Xenopus tropicalis: one gene and its partners. The protein of the gene in region 1 interacts with the protein of each later gene in a pairwise test. Links are inferred from orthologs where the notes say so. Each region holds a gene or a part of one and is shown on either strand. Other genes may lie near its edges.

Region 1 (5,625 bases):
TGCCGGCGCTACCTGCTTCCTCCTCGCTTGCGCGCGCATGCGCAGTAGAGTGAAAAGCCGAACTTAAACATTAAAGTCGGCTTTTCACTCTACTGCGCATGCGCTGGCCCACGGATTTCGCCAGCAGCGCGCAAAGGAAGGAGGAAGCGGTGTCTACAGGTGCCCCGGGCTGGTGCTGTTTTCTCCTAACGGGGGCACCAGCCTGGGGTACAAGGTAGGTCATGTAAGTCACTTGGGGGTGCCTAACATTTTGGCACCCCCAAGTGACTTAGCCTTTCCTTCTCCTTTAAGCCTTAGTGCAAGAGTGTAACAGGTATCCATAAAATATCTCACAATTATTGCACTACATAATTGTTAGGTAATTATGTGCTGAAAATCTTTGAAACCTCATGATGATTTCTCACTGGACATTTTAAAAAGATTTTCTTACCTTTTTCTTTATTTCTGTATGTGCAAATATTGTTGGCACAGCATTATCCTTAAGAAGCTTATTGTTGCATTCTCTTTTGAAGCAATCAGCTGTAAAATGGTCAGAGCAAATGCTACTGTACTTTGTAGGTTTAAAGTCAGCTCTACGTACAGCTGCTTCCCATTTCCTGCAGAGTAGCGGGCGTTTAAGGGGAAACCTATTGGGGCAAAGAAGAGGAATTCAAATTTTTAAAATGTTGTCCTTCAACTTCAACATATTACCGTATATACTCGAGTATAAGCCGATCCGAGTATAAGCCGAGGTACCTAATTTTACCTAAGAAAATTGGAAAAACTTATTGACTCGAGTATAAGCCTAGGCATCCATTTCTTTTAACACACCTGCACAAAACGCTATCATCATCATGGAAGATAGAGAAAACATTGCAGATGAGAAAATAATATATTAATAAAATAGATAAATAAATTGGGCATTTTCTCCACCTGTGTATTTCGGCCAGCTGAGAAGCATCCAGAACCACCCTTGCGTTTGACAAAACAACATACTGTATATCCAGTCTCTCAAACACTCAAAATGACCGGCCATAAGAAAACTGGCTTGTGTTAAGCCACCTTAGTTTGTGCAACATTATTGTATTTAATTAGCCCTGGTAATGCAAAGACTTTAGAGCAGCTGCTTTTTAGGTATATCAGGGGAGAAAATGATCAGTGTCTGTTTTTAGGAGGCAAAAATTGGAAAGCAGTGCACACGTTATCCTATACTCATAGTAACACATATCGATCACAGTTCCTATTTAACCCATTAGGTTTCTTAGTAATAATTCACTGTCAACCATTGCCTAAGAGGGAGGACATGTTCCAAAAATCATGAACCTTAAGTCTGAGGCAGGAGGTGTAAAGTGAGCAGCTGTCAGCCTGTGTACAGTCTATGTGTGTCAGTCTGTGTATCCCTGCTGCCTAAGGGCCTGTCTCTGTGGCAAAACTCAAAATATCAAAGCGAACAACTTAATATGCCCTTACCTTGTAGTTGACCCATGTTGCAACTCTGAGTTCTTTTAAATGCCCTTTTGTGCTGTTGACTTACTCTATTTCATTGATCCAGCACCGATCCAGCACCTCGCCAGCCATCGGGCGCCAGCCATCATGCTGTAACCGGGCATTCGTCGCGCACAACATATCACGTACCTTTCCAGCAATCGGGCGCGATCGCATGCACGTATCCAGCACCAGGCATCCGCGCACACATGTCACGCGCACGGGGGGATGCATGCGATTGCGACGGATGCCCAGTGCTGGATATGAAATAGAGTAAGTTGCGCGCCGATGGCTGCCGAGGTGATGGATCAATGAAATAGAGTAAGTCAACACTCGCAAGCATGCGAGCGCATATGTCCAGGGTTGGGCGGTGTGAGCAAGCGAGCGCACGGCCGGGAGAACGTATATACTCGAGTATAAGCCGAGGGTGCCTTTTTGAGCACATTATTAGGGCTGAAAAACTCGGCTTATACTCGAGTATATACGGTACTAACAATGTTCTTAAAAAGTCAAATATTTATTCAATTTAAATTTTAAAATAAGACATTAAAACAAATTATTGCAAAGTAAGAAAGTATGGAGTATATTATTTCAATTGCGGCTTCCTCAATTCAGACATTTTAATCCCAGTGCTAAAAGTGTTAACAGTTAAATTAGATTCTTGCCACATTGATCACAGAATCAAGAACAGTCTACAGCATTGCTGAGCAACATCTGAAGTTTCAGGGGTCTCACACTGAACCCAGACATATCAAAAGGACTGCAGGTTAGATTTGATGTTGGTAATGAGCACACTACACTACAATACATTTTAATAAATGCAACATACTCATACTGAAGGGCTGAATATAGCCCCCATGGCCAACTGCAAGACAACAGCAGGGATCTAAATGATTGGTTAATTAGCCATAAAGAAGATGCATACATAAAAGCAGTGGCGTAACTACAAGGGGGTGAAATGCACCCCTCTAGGCCCACCAGAGAAGCAAAATGGAGGAGTTTTCCATCATGTGACTACGCCGCTGTTGAATAAGTGTACCCAAGGTTAGGTATGCTACTGCATAAAAGGCAACTTTTACAGCAACAATATAATAATGGAAAATATATGTATTTCTCTTTAACAGGGTGTTACAATTCAGAAAAAAATCCCTTTCCTTTTTTCCCTACCCATACCCTAACTGGAATGCGATGTTCCTAAGTGATATTATCTTAACTTATGAATAGGCTTGATACCCAAGGGGTATTTTAGCAGTATGATACATTACTTTGTGCAAATGCTTTTTAAGATTATTATTGAATAGGACATACTTTTTATTTGTTTAAATTAACAAATATTTATGGGTTTGGGTTTTCTTTTATTTAACATAGGCACTGAGAGCTTAAATTTGCCAAGTCAATGTTGGAGAAGGAGAAGGCTGTGTAACATACAACTGTTTCACAGATAAACCCTATGTACAGGGGGAATATTTTCTGACAAGTTTCACTCAGATAACATGCACAATTGTGGCAATTTTTACCAGAAAAAAAGGCAAAAGCGTTAAATATACCAGTCCACATATTTATATGATAAAATAAAAATGAGGTAAAATCACTCTTCCCCTTCTTAGGTCCATTTATTTCAAAGTTTGAACAACTGGATGCAGCTCACACACAGTAACACAAGGCGAGGCCGCGCACTCCCAGCCCCTGACCACGTGGTATCGGCAGGCGCCTAGCATTAGAACAAGCACCGAGCTTCGCGCATGCGTCTCTTGCTTTCAGGGGACCGAGAATACTATCCAGCTAAATATTACCGGGCAAAGCGCAAAATGCACTCACTTGTGAAAAGAGATGGGTTTATCCTTATCGTAGCGATTCTTGCAACCGTAAGCCGAGCACGATTGCACCATGTTTTCCGACGCGCCCAGTTTCTTCTGCTACAGACGGTACCGCCTTATTGCACCTTGAAAAGCGCGACGGGTTTTCCGTAGATTGCTTTAATTTCTCGATCTGGTGTATCGCTGGCTACCGAGTTGACAGCACCACCGAATTAATTTACAATAATTTTGCAGAGACTGTTGGTGAATTGCGCTCCTCCCGGCTCCAAGATGGCTGACAGCGCTTCAGGTCGGCGTCACGTTCGCTGAGCGGGAGCTGGACTACGATTTGCGAGGGTGTACCACGTGGTGCAATATTTGCTCCGCCTATTCTTATGTTTACGTCTAATTGATTTAGCCAGCCGGGGTTTCTTTATATTTCTGTAGAAAATGAGTAGGTTACTCGGAAGGTGTGAGTATATGTAGGATTCAAAGGATTTTATTCGACGTATTTGTTTTAGTAATCAGAAGCGTAACAAGGGCTTGCGACTTTGTACCTTTATATGATCATTAAACACATGTATGTCTTTCAGTACCCTTATTTAGTTGGCGTGTATTATTGATTAGCGAGAACAGGTTAATCGGTTCGTAATCAGCCCGCTTGTGCGCTAGTTAAAAGTGGTAGGGAAGTTGGATTGTAAGCGCCACTATGTACGAGTTGGTGTGAATGAAAAACAATCTCTCTAGCGCTGCCCAACTTGTGGGTGCTGTATGAGTAGTATGTCTGTAATGTTACCTGTGTGTAACGAGAAACAATGCTCCAAAGGTGGGAAGGCATACTTGGCCTCCTGCAGGTAACTTTGGGAAAGGAAGTGCTTTTTGTGGAAAGGCATTTCCTGGAGACTAGTTACCCACAGTAGCTGAGATTTAGTGCAGTGGCACAAGGGGAAATTAGTCAGATTTTTGTTGCCGCGGGTAACCTCCCCGCAAAGCCATCCCACCGGCAAGAATGTAAATCGCCAGTGGGATGGCATACGTGTCGCTACGATTTCACCCAAAGTACTTAGGGCAAGTTCGGGAAATCGTAGCAACGCATATGCCGTATTGTTGCGGGGCAACTAATCTCTTAGTCTGCCACTGCCCTTAGGGCTCTGGCACACGGGGAGATTAGTTGCCCGCGACAAAACTCCCTGTTCGCGGGCGACTAATCTCCCCAGATTGCCATACCACCGGCGAAAATGTAAATCGCCGGTAGGATAGCATACACGGCAGCGGTGGGATGGCATTTCGGGGAGATTAGTCGCCCGAGACACAGGAGATTTGTCGCGGGCGACTAAGGGCCAGAGCCCTTAAAGTGCACCAATTGCCCCTATGTTGTTTCCCCCACCTGAGGTGCAGCCTAATAGAGCCCATGCTCCGGATAGGGGAAACAATAGTTTTTCCACTGCACCACAGTCACCACTGCAGGTAGCCATGTCGGGGCACACGTATGCGCGAGTGTGAGTGCTGCAACTCGCTCATTGTGCACATGTGTGTGACGTAGAAGGGTAATTTACATTCACCACTCCTACATCAGGCACATGTGCTTATCATGCGCATTCGTGCCGACCAACATGGCTCCCTCCTGGTGCGGGTAGCCCAGTGCTGGCGAGGGGGAGTTTTTTTTTAATCAATTGTTTCCCCCAACTGGAGTGTGGGCTCTATTAGCCCGCACCTATGGTGGGGGAAACAATATAGGTTGATAGGTGCCCTTTAACCATGGGTGACTAATCTGCCTCTGAGCCATGGCCCTTAGAATAACTATGCACGGTGCTTTTAACCTTAGTTTATGCTTTTACAAATAACTTATGCTTTTAAAATAAACTTGTTTATTAAACACACACATTCATTCATTTTTTTTAATCCTCCTCAATCACTACAACATAAAGATAAATGTGTCCTCATTGATCATAAACTCGAAGAGCGTTGTTTACCCAATCCACTTGCAATCCCAATGAAAGTTAATGATTTATTATTGTACAAAAGCGGTTAAAACTGAAAGACTAGTAGTAATAACTATATTGGCATTAGAAGTTATAGGAACATAGGGGGAGGTTTATTTACCAATTTTCATGGTCAAGGGGGAAAAAAATGTGAAAAAAAACCAGCAAGTAAATTTCCAGCAGCAGATTAGGATATTTAAATCTTTTTACCAAACACATAGAATTGTGCTTTAAATGCCTTTTATGATCATTTGTAAAGCCTGTCAGTCCTGTATTCATGTCCTAGAACCCACCTCCCCCACTCACCAAAATAACACCCTACAGGTTGTAATAATGACCATGGTCTAATGTAGTTGTCTGGGTTCCTGCTTTGTTTCTTGCCA
Region 2 (4,175 bases), on another chromosome or scaffold:
TGTAGTTTGCACATCACATTTTTCTATCATTCTGATTAGTTTGACCCATGCATCTACATCCAACTTGTACCATTCTACAAAATCTCCCATGTAGTTTAGCCCTAAGGCAAACCAACATCTATGCAAGTTGAACCCGAGTGCCACCCCTTCTCTCTTCTTCTAAAATCACACATTCCCTGCTGCCTCTGTCCCTACACACTCATTGGATAAATGGAAAAACCCTTATTTTGTAGGCAATTATGAATAATATATGGTGCTGGTTTCACTTTGGGCTAAAATTAAATACAGTCTGTAAAAATGGCCCCTTTATTGGAGCTCCCTATAGATCCTATCAGTTCTCTGTCCGAGTTTGAAATGAAGAGTGGGCGTGTCCTAACGGTCCCTGCCAGAAGCACAGTAGGAGGGGGATAGCCAATCACAGCCCTGCACTCACACAAGCAAAGACAGGCTTCAGTTCCCTATCAGGTCAGCCTAGCTGCTGATTGGTCCCTTTACTACAGTATCTGTACTGAGAGCCTGTGGCTCCCCTGCACATCCAGAGAATTCACCCAGCAGGAAGTGGGACAGATGGCCCATACTAGTGGGGTTTAGGTGGAATTTCTCAATAAATCAGTTCAAGCACAACTTTTTAAGCACAACCTTTCTATATTTAGAGGAGTATAATTCACTGGCACATTTTTTTTTTATGGCAGAGGCTCCTGCCTTTCTGTTTCAGCCAAGGATAAAACAAAAGAGCCTAAAACCTTGTTAACTTTTCGTTGTATTCTGCTAAATTAGCCCTTTTGTCCCTAATCTGTGAAACATCTGCCTCATTTGCACAAAAAGCTCAGAAAAATAGATTACTTCATTTCACTTTGCCTTAATTTGAACATGAATTACTATTTTTTGGGAGCAGAGGCACCAGTGGTAGTGGGTATTGCTGGCAAGCAGCAAAGAAATGGGTCTCATTTTGTTTGGGAACTCCCTGCCAATGTTCTTTTGGGTTCCAGAACTTTCTTAGGGAAGGAACCTGCACAATTCCAAGTTTATAAAAGTATAAAGGAAGAGTAAAATACAACTTCCGTTTTACCCTTGTTCTGACCATGTAGTGTGAAAAATATGCTCCCCCACCCTGAGGAGGAGGTTTTTTTGTTCCTGGCACAGGTGTAATTTCTAAAATGTGTAAGGAGGAGAGAAAGTGAAGAAAGCAATGAATGGCCAAATATTGGGAGCTGAAGCCCACTCTAATTCAGGAAATGCGGGCAGTGGGACCTGCTGCAGCCCCCACAGACATGATTGCGTGACACCTTGCACGACAGAGCCTCACGGCGGAAGGATTTAGCGTCACTGCGCTGCTCTGCGTGGCTCCGTGACATCATAGTCTCGCGAGATGAGCGGCGGAACGTTGGAGTTGGCTGTACGGCAGGATCTAGAGAGTAGGGCGCTAATGGCGTTTCGGGACGTTTAAGCAGCCGTCTGGGACTCCGGGTTGTGTTACGGAAAGCGGGAGAGCGGTATGCACCTGCCCTGTACTACCTCTCCTTGGGATTCATGCGCGTAGGGAAAACAACAATACGGGATGTCACACGCAAAGCCTTCCGCTTGCTGGTTTGTTTGAGGGGAACTGAACCTCAACAATGAATTAGACTAGGAATGCTACAGTTCATTTTGTTTTGTGTACCTGCTAGAAAGACTTTATGCCTCTGAAAATGCTCCCCATATTTTGCTGCTGGTCAGATACCCGAGTTTAGTGACAATGCACAATACAGTGCAGGTATTATATCCAAATTCACAGTATATGGCAGCACATTCAGGTATTATATCCAAATTCACAGTATATGGCAGCACATTCAGGTGTTATATCCAAATTCGCAGTATATGGCAGCACATTCAGGTATTATATCCAAGATCACAGTATATGGCAGCACATTCAGGTATTATATCCAAATTCACAGTATATGGCAGCACATTCAGCTATTATATCCAAATTCACAGTATATGGCAGCACATTCAGGTATTATATCCCATATCACAGTATATGGCAGCACATTCAGGTATTATATCCAAATTCACAGTATATGGCAGCACATTCAGGTATTATATCCCATTCACAGTATATGGCAGCACATTCAGGTATTATATCCAAATTCACAGTATATGGCAGCACATTCAGGTATTACCGTATATCCAAATTCACAGTATATGGCAGCACATTCAGGTATTATATCCAAGATCACAGTATATGGCAGCACATTCAGGTATTATATCCAAATTCACAGTATATGGCAACACATTCAGGTATTATATCCAAATTCACAGTATATGGCAGCACATTCAGGTATTATATCCCAGATCACAGTATATGGCAGCGCAGAAATCAGTGCAGCAGAATTGGCGTTAGCCCTGTAGCATCAGCCTCTGTAACAGATGTGAACTTATTTTCTGTAATGTTTTTATGAATTGAGTTGAACCCTAAGCTTAGCTTCTCTGCAGTACCCCAGAGCACACTGAGCATGTGCAATGTCACTGACACTCAAAAGATGGCCTAACTAGATTTCATGATATGGAGCTGCTTTGAACACTGAAGGCCTGAAACATTACTGTTACAGCTGTGAGAAAGTTCTTGGCCCATACAGCAAATTCTTAATACAGAGTACAGCATTTCTAGACAGATTCTTATTTAGGGTTCAGTTCTCTTTCAAAATCTAATGAGATGGCTGTGCAGCTACGCTGCATCTTGTCTGGGAAATTGACTTGCTAAAAATATGATGCCATGTTTGCCATTGCTCAAATATCCTGTAGACCATGTTATAATTATTCAGTGTTGCATTTTGCCTTCTGATATGTAAAACTACCAACCTAGCAATTGAGTTTGGTAGGGTAACCGTTTAATTACTCATTTCTCTGGTACCTTTTCTAAAAATCAATCACAGTGACAGTATGAACCCTTTGCTGAGATGCAGAGAGAGCAATAATCATAAGTGTGAATGTACATAATTACCTTCATCTGTGAATGTAAGTGGGGCATAGTTGAGTCAAGGGTGTCACAGTCAGTCTCACTTGCTGGTATGGATGCAGCCATTTGTAGCAGCTGTATGCAGTACACACAGTATTTGAGGTCTGTTTTATTTACAAATGGGATGCTTGTTAATATATTAGGAATATGTGCTGTGTAATTTGGTACATATAAATTATTTCACTTGCTTGTCTTTTGATTTTAAAGGCAACATTTTAATAAAAGAAGTTGCAGATATTACCTAACATTTCTACTTTATATATTAACAGCCCCTTCAAGATTATGGCTGCAGCTACGATAGTGCATGATACATCGGAAGCTGTAGAGCTGTGTGGCTCTTGTGGGCTTTACTTGAAGCCTATCACAAAGATGATTATCAGCGTGGCACTACCGCAGCTGAAGCAACCTGGAAAGTCCATATCTAACTGGGAAGTAATGGAACGTCTGAAAGGCATGGTGAACAACCATCAATTTTCCACCTTACGCATTTCAAAAAGCACCATGGACTTCATCAGATTTGAAGGGGAAGTAGAGAACAAAAGTTTAGTAAAGACTTTTCTAGCAGCTCTTGATGGGAAGAGTATAAAGCTAAGTGGGTTCTCTGATATATTGAAAGTCAGAGCGGTTGAGTACAAATTAGACTTTCCCACCAGACATGACTGGGATTCTTTTTTCCGTGACGCAAAAGATATGAATGAGAGCCTTCCAGGAGAAAGACCTGATACAATTCATTTGGAAGGCCTGCCTTGCAAATGGTTTGCGTTGAAGGATTCTGGCTCAGAAAAGCCAAATGAAGATGTTCTTATTAAGGTTTTCAATTTGTTTGGGGAAATTCGGATGGTGGACATACCTATGCTGGATCCCTACAGAGAGGAAATGACAGGCAGGAGTTTCCATACTTTTAGCTTTGGTGGCCACTTGAACTTTGAAGCCTACGTACAATACAAGGAATATGTAGGATTTGTAAAAGCCATGAACGCACTGCGTGGTATGAAACTTATGTACAAAGGCGAAGATGGGAAAGCTGTGGCCTGCAATATTAAGGTGTGCTTTTGTGCAGCGTTATTTCATGCAAATCCATTCTGTGGTCTTCTAGAACAGGCTTGGAATTATTGAGCAACTTGAGCTTTGCTCTGCAAATTATTAAACATTACTAAAGCCTTTCTGGCAATGTATTCTT
Region 3 (4,066 bases), on another chromosome or scaffold:
TATGAGGCCCTCCGATGCATAATGTTGCTTTCCACCTGCGTTCAGCACTTACATCAACCTGTGTCAGTATAGGCCAGTAAAAAAGAATGGGCTGCCTAAAACACTACTTTTTCAGGCACATTCCTTCTATATGTATGTATATCTTTATTTATTTATAAAGCACTACTTATGTAAGCAGTGCTGTACAGTAGAATAGATTATTACAAATGGGGTTATTAAGATAATAATAAATACAAAGTATAACAATAAATACAAGGTACAGTTGAAAGAGTCAAAGACACAAGAGGACGGAGGTCCCTGCCCCGTAGAGCTTACAATCTATATGGGAGGGTAACTTACAGACACAAATCGGCAAATATAAGTGCTGTAGGTCACAGTGGGTAACATTACAATATAAGTGCTAGTCCCCAGATCAGGTGCTGGGTGAGTGCTCCAAAAGGTACTATCTTAGTTTAGTTTTAAAAAGACTGAGGGAGGATTCTCTCTGGATAATCTATATTTAGATTAGTATAATTATTTGGCATAATATTGTATATATTTTAAAGTAACATGTGACTATCCATCTCTGCAAGTTCCCTTTTCTTTCTTAATGCAACAAAACAGTATTTGGAGGAAGATAACACATTGCGGATCCCATAGCAAAGTGTATAAAACAGGAGAGGTACATCGCAGTACAACGCTCATATTGGCCCTGCACGTTGGGCTTCCTGAAAACACGTGTATTGCACCAATCAGGAGGAGGCTGTCCTTACAAATGAGAACACACCGTCAATATGTATTTACCGCCTACAAAGAGACATATGTACATGTTTTATTTATGTCCGTGTCTAATTTTAACAGGCCTCACGCTCAGCTAGCCATGCCACCTTAATTGCATCGATGTCTCCTTTTCTTCTAAACTTAAATGACCGGATTAACGTCGTCTTCCGCCGGCTCTATTTCATGTCCGTCCGAAACATATATGTTTGAATAAACCACGCCCCCCTACTTACGAAAATTGTCGAAGTTCCCGGAAGTCTTCTCGCTTCAGTAAAGCCCTTTTCAAAAGAAGCCGAGAAAATAGTAAGCTCCGCCCAATCATTTCCGGAAGCGGGCGAATCCTTAACAAGCCCCTGCCCCGCTACTTCCGGAAGCCGCCAAGCTGGTTGGTAAGCGTGTTGCGACTGCGTTGTCTCCTTCCTCCTCCCACTCCTTCCTCTGAGAACAAGAGCGCGAGAAGAGAGTGCAGGACTGGCGCTCGGACACGGCCTGCCGCCGCCATCACAATAAAGCGCGGCCATCATGTCTGACTTCGACGAGTTTGAGCGGCAGCTGAATGAAAATAAGCAAGGTAAGGTGAAACCCGGGAGCCGCCGGCCTGGGGCCGTATAATATGTGGCGTGGCGGGAGAAGAGGGAAATGTGCGCGGTTGAGGCCTAGATGGGGCGGAGTTTTTCTTTACGTAGCCCATTGGGTAGGCCCGAAGGTTCTGGTCCCGCTGGCGTGGGGCGGCCTGCCGCTTCTGCAACTCTGCCCTTTTATACCTTCCTTTATACCTTCCTTTATGCTGTGCGTTGCCATGGCCTCATTTGTTAAAATAATCCCGATTAAAAAACATATGATGATCGACCCAGCGACCTTACTTTGTATGGCTTTATTTGTGGCGCTATCGGGCTGAATCTCAATACACCCAATGAGACAGCGCCATTCACTGGCCAGTTTGTGTGAAACATTAAATAATAATTAAAATGGATCGTAGAATTTTTTCCCGTTCAAGCTTTATTTATTTTTATTTTTAAAGGTGCAAGCTATGGTCAGGGGCCACATACTAAGTTATAATACAGGGGAACATATATGGGGTATCAGCCATAGTCCAGAGGATATCTAGGGCAATAAATACTTGCTCATCCATAAACATCATAAACCTACAGGATGAGCTTATGGGAGAATCTTGAATAGCAAATAAGCATTCTCCCCAAATCTCTAACTGCCTTTAGTTTGAACCCCCAGCCCATGGCATAATGCCCCATAGTGCCCCCATAATGCAGTTAGCAATGTATTAGGCCTAGCTATTGGGCAGTCCTGTTCATCTACAAAGCAAGTTTTTTTTATTTTGCCATGACACCATTTTGTATTGCAACTAAGTATGATTGATTGGTTTCAGCTCATGGTGATAATGTATGAACTATGTTTCTAAGCACAGATGTACAGTGTATGGGGGGTTTAAATCAATGTTAAAAGAACAGTAACATCAAAATATGAAAGTGTTTTAAAGCAATTACAATATGATGCACTGTTACCCTGCACTGGTACAACTGGTGTGTTTGCCTCAGAAAGACTACTATAGTTTATATAAGCAAAGCAGCTGTGTAGCCATGGGGGCAGCCATTTGAATGAGAAAAGGCACAGGTTACTTAGCAGATAACAGATAAAATGCCATTGTATTCTACAGAGTTTATTTGTTATCTGCTATGTAACCTGTGCCTTTTCTCCTTTTTTCCAGCTTGAATGGCTGCCCCCATGGCTACACAGCAGCTTATTTATATAGACTATAGGAGCATTCTGTAGCAAATACACCAGTTTTACCAGTGCAGGGCAACAGTACATTACATTTTAATTACTTTAAAACACTTTCATATTTTGGTGTTACTGTTCCTTTAATGGACTTAACACAGTGATATAGGGTCAGACTAGGTCTGGTAAAGGGGTATTACAGGGATGCAAGTTGTACAGACCTTGTACCAAGCCTTTATCTGTACTATTGTTTGGATATAAAGGTCCAGTGCCTTTCACAATGTATGTTGGGGTATTAAACATACTGCAGTATTAAATATTTTATAAAATAATTTTAGCCGGTGATTTGGGGCTTAGTGTACCTTTCATTGGATCAAGTTCAGGGTTCTTAGATGCAGAGAGTTTAAAATCAAGGGCCTTTGTGTGTGTTTACAGGGGAATTCCAGCAGATATTCCTAGATATTAAAGCAACAGTTACATTAAACAATTAATTACATTATAATGTACTGTTGCCCTGCACTGGTAAAACCGATGATTGCTTCAGTAACACTACTATATATAAACACGCTCCTCTGTAGCCATAGGCACAGCCATTCAAGCTGAAAAAGGTAAAAGGCACATTGTTTGAATCCATGTCTAAGAGCTACATACACGTAGCTTATTTTATTTTTTAATGTTACTGTTCCTTTAAACTAAACCATTGGTGTGATATGTAAAGTTTCCTGACTTAAAAACTTTTATATATACACTAATATGACTAAATGTTTACTTTTGTAACAAACATAACCTGCCAACTTACAGCGCATACCTGGGCTAACCTGCAGCATGCAGCCATTTCACTGCTGTTTACTGATCTGGGGCGTCACTAGTGCATTCCAGTTTGGATGCATTATCCTCAAAATACAGATTGTATTTGCAGGAAAACTACACTATTCAGTGATTTCTCATCTGTTTGGGTAATTTGCAAACTTAAACCAAATCACTTTTTTACCCGTTTGATTACACAATCCTTTTAGCTCTTTTCCATGCTGTGATTGTAGCTTAAGGACTGTGACACAGGAGTATATTAGTCGGAGCGTGACAAATCTTCCTTGTTGCGGGCGACTAATCTCCCTGAAATGCCATCCCACCGGCTAGAATGTAAATCACTGGCGGGATGACTTACGTGTCAATCCTACGGTGCCTGTACCCTTAGTTGTAATTCATTGGTTTTAATGGAATAAGGGAATATTGGTAGGAGATCCAGTCATTTGGCGATCTCTCCCAACAAGAATATCTTACCATGTATGGCCACCTTAAGTCGTGTTAGAATCTGATAAAAAGTGGTATTGTACTGTACAGCGCTGCTTACATAAGTAGGGCTTTATAAATAAAGATATACATACATACAAGTGGTATTGCAATCTGTTATCAGCCTATTTCTTAGGGCTCTGGTACACGGGGAGATAAGTCGCCCACGAAAAATCTCCCCGATATGACATCCAACCGGCAAAAATATAAATCGCCGGTGGGATGGCATACGTGGCGGCACGGTCTACACAGATTTTTTTGTGAATTACCAGTTTAGCCCCCC

Evidence for each region. The genes of interacting proteins can lie anywhere in the genome.
Region 2: the proteins of thap1 (region 1) and akap17a interact in binary tests that used the Homo sapiens proteins (3 or more experiments, as listed by UniProt). The two-hybrid records come from large-scale screens. The link is inferred for Xenopus tropicalis from reciprocal best matches to the Homo sapiens genes THAP1 and AKAP17A.
Region 3: the proteins of thap1 (region 1) and u2af2 interact in binary tests that used the Homo sapiens proteins (3 or more experiments, as listed by UniProt). The two-hybrid records come from large-scale screens. The link is inferred for Xenopus tropicalis from reciprocal best matches to the Homo sapiens genes THAP1 and U2AF2.

What each region holds. Positions count from the first base shown.
Region 1 is NC_030677.2:112,769,445-112,775,069, forward strand, and holds the start of thap1 (THAP domain-containing protein 1), read right to left. Parts: upstream 3,535-5,625; 5' UTR 3,354-3,534; coding exon 3,283-3,353; intron 2,509-3,282; exon of another isoform or gene 2,437-2,508; intron 627-2,436; coding exon 431-626; intron 1-430. UniProt on the Homo sapiens protein: DNA-binding transcription regulator that regulates endothelial cell proliferation and G1/S cell-cycle progression.
Region 2 is NC_030678.2:38,922,324-38,926,498, forward strand, and holds the start of akap17a (A-kinase anchor protein 17A), read left to right. Parts: upstream 1-1,375; 5' UTR 1,376-1,493; intron 1,494-3,264; 5' UTR 3,265-3,277; coding exon 3,278-4,039; intron 4,040-4,175. UniProt on the Homo sapiens protein: Splice factor regulating alternative splice site selection for certain mRNA precursors. Mediates regulation of pre-mRNA splicing in a PKA-dependent manner.
Region 3 is NC_030683.2:104,041,842-104,045,907, forward strand, and holds the start of u2af2 (splicing factor U2AF 65 kDa subunit), read left to right. Parts: upstream 1-1,266; 5' UTR 1,267-1,281; coding exon 1,282-1,330; intron 1,331-4,066. UniProt on the Homo sapiens protein: Plays a role in pre-mRNA splicing and 3'-end processing. By recruiting PRPF19 and the PRP19C/Prp19 complex/NTC/Nineteen complex to the RNA polymerase II C-terminal domain (CTD), and thereby pre-mRNA, may couple transcription to splicing.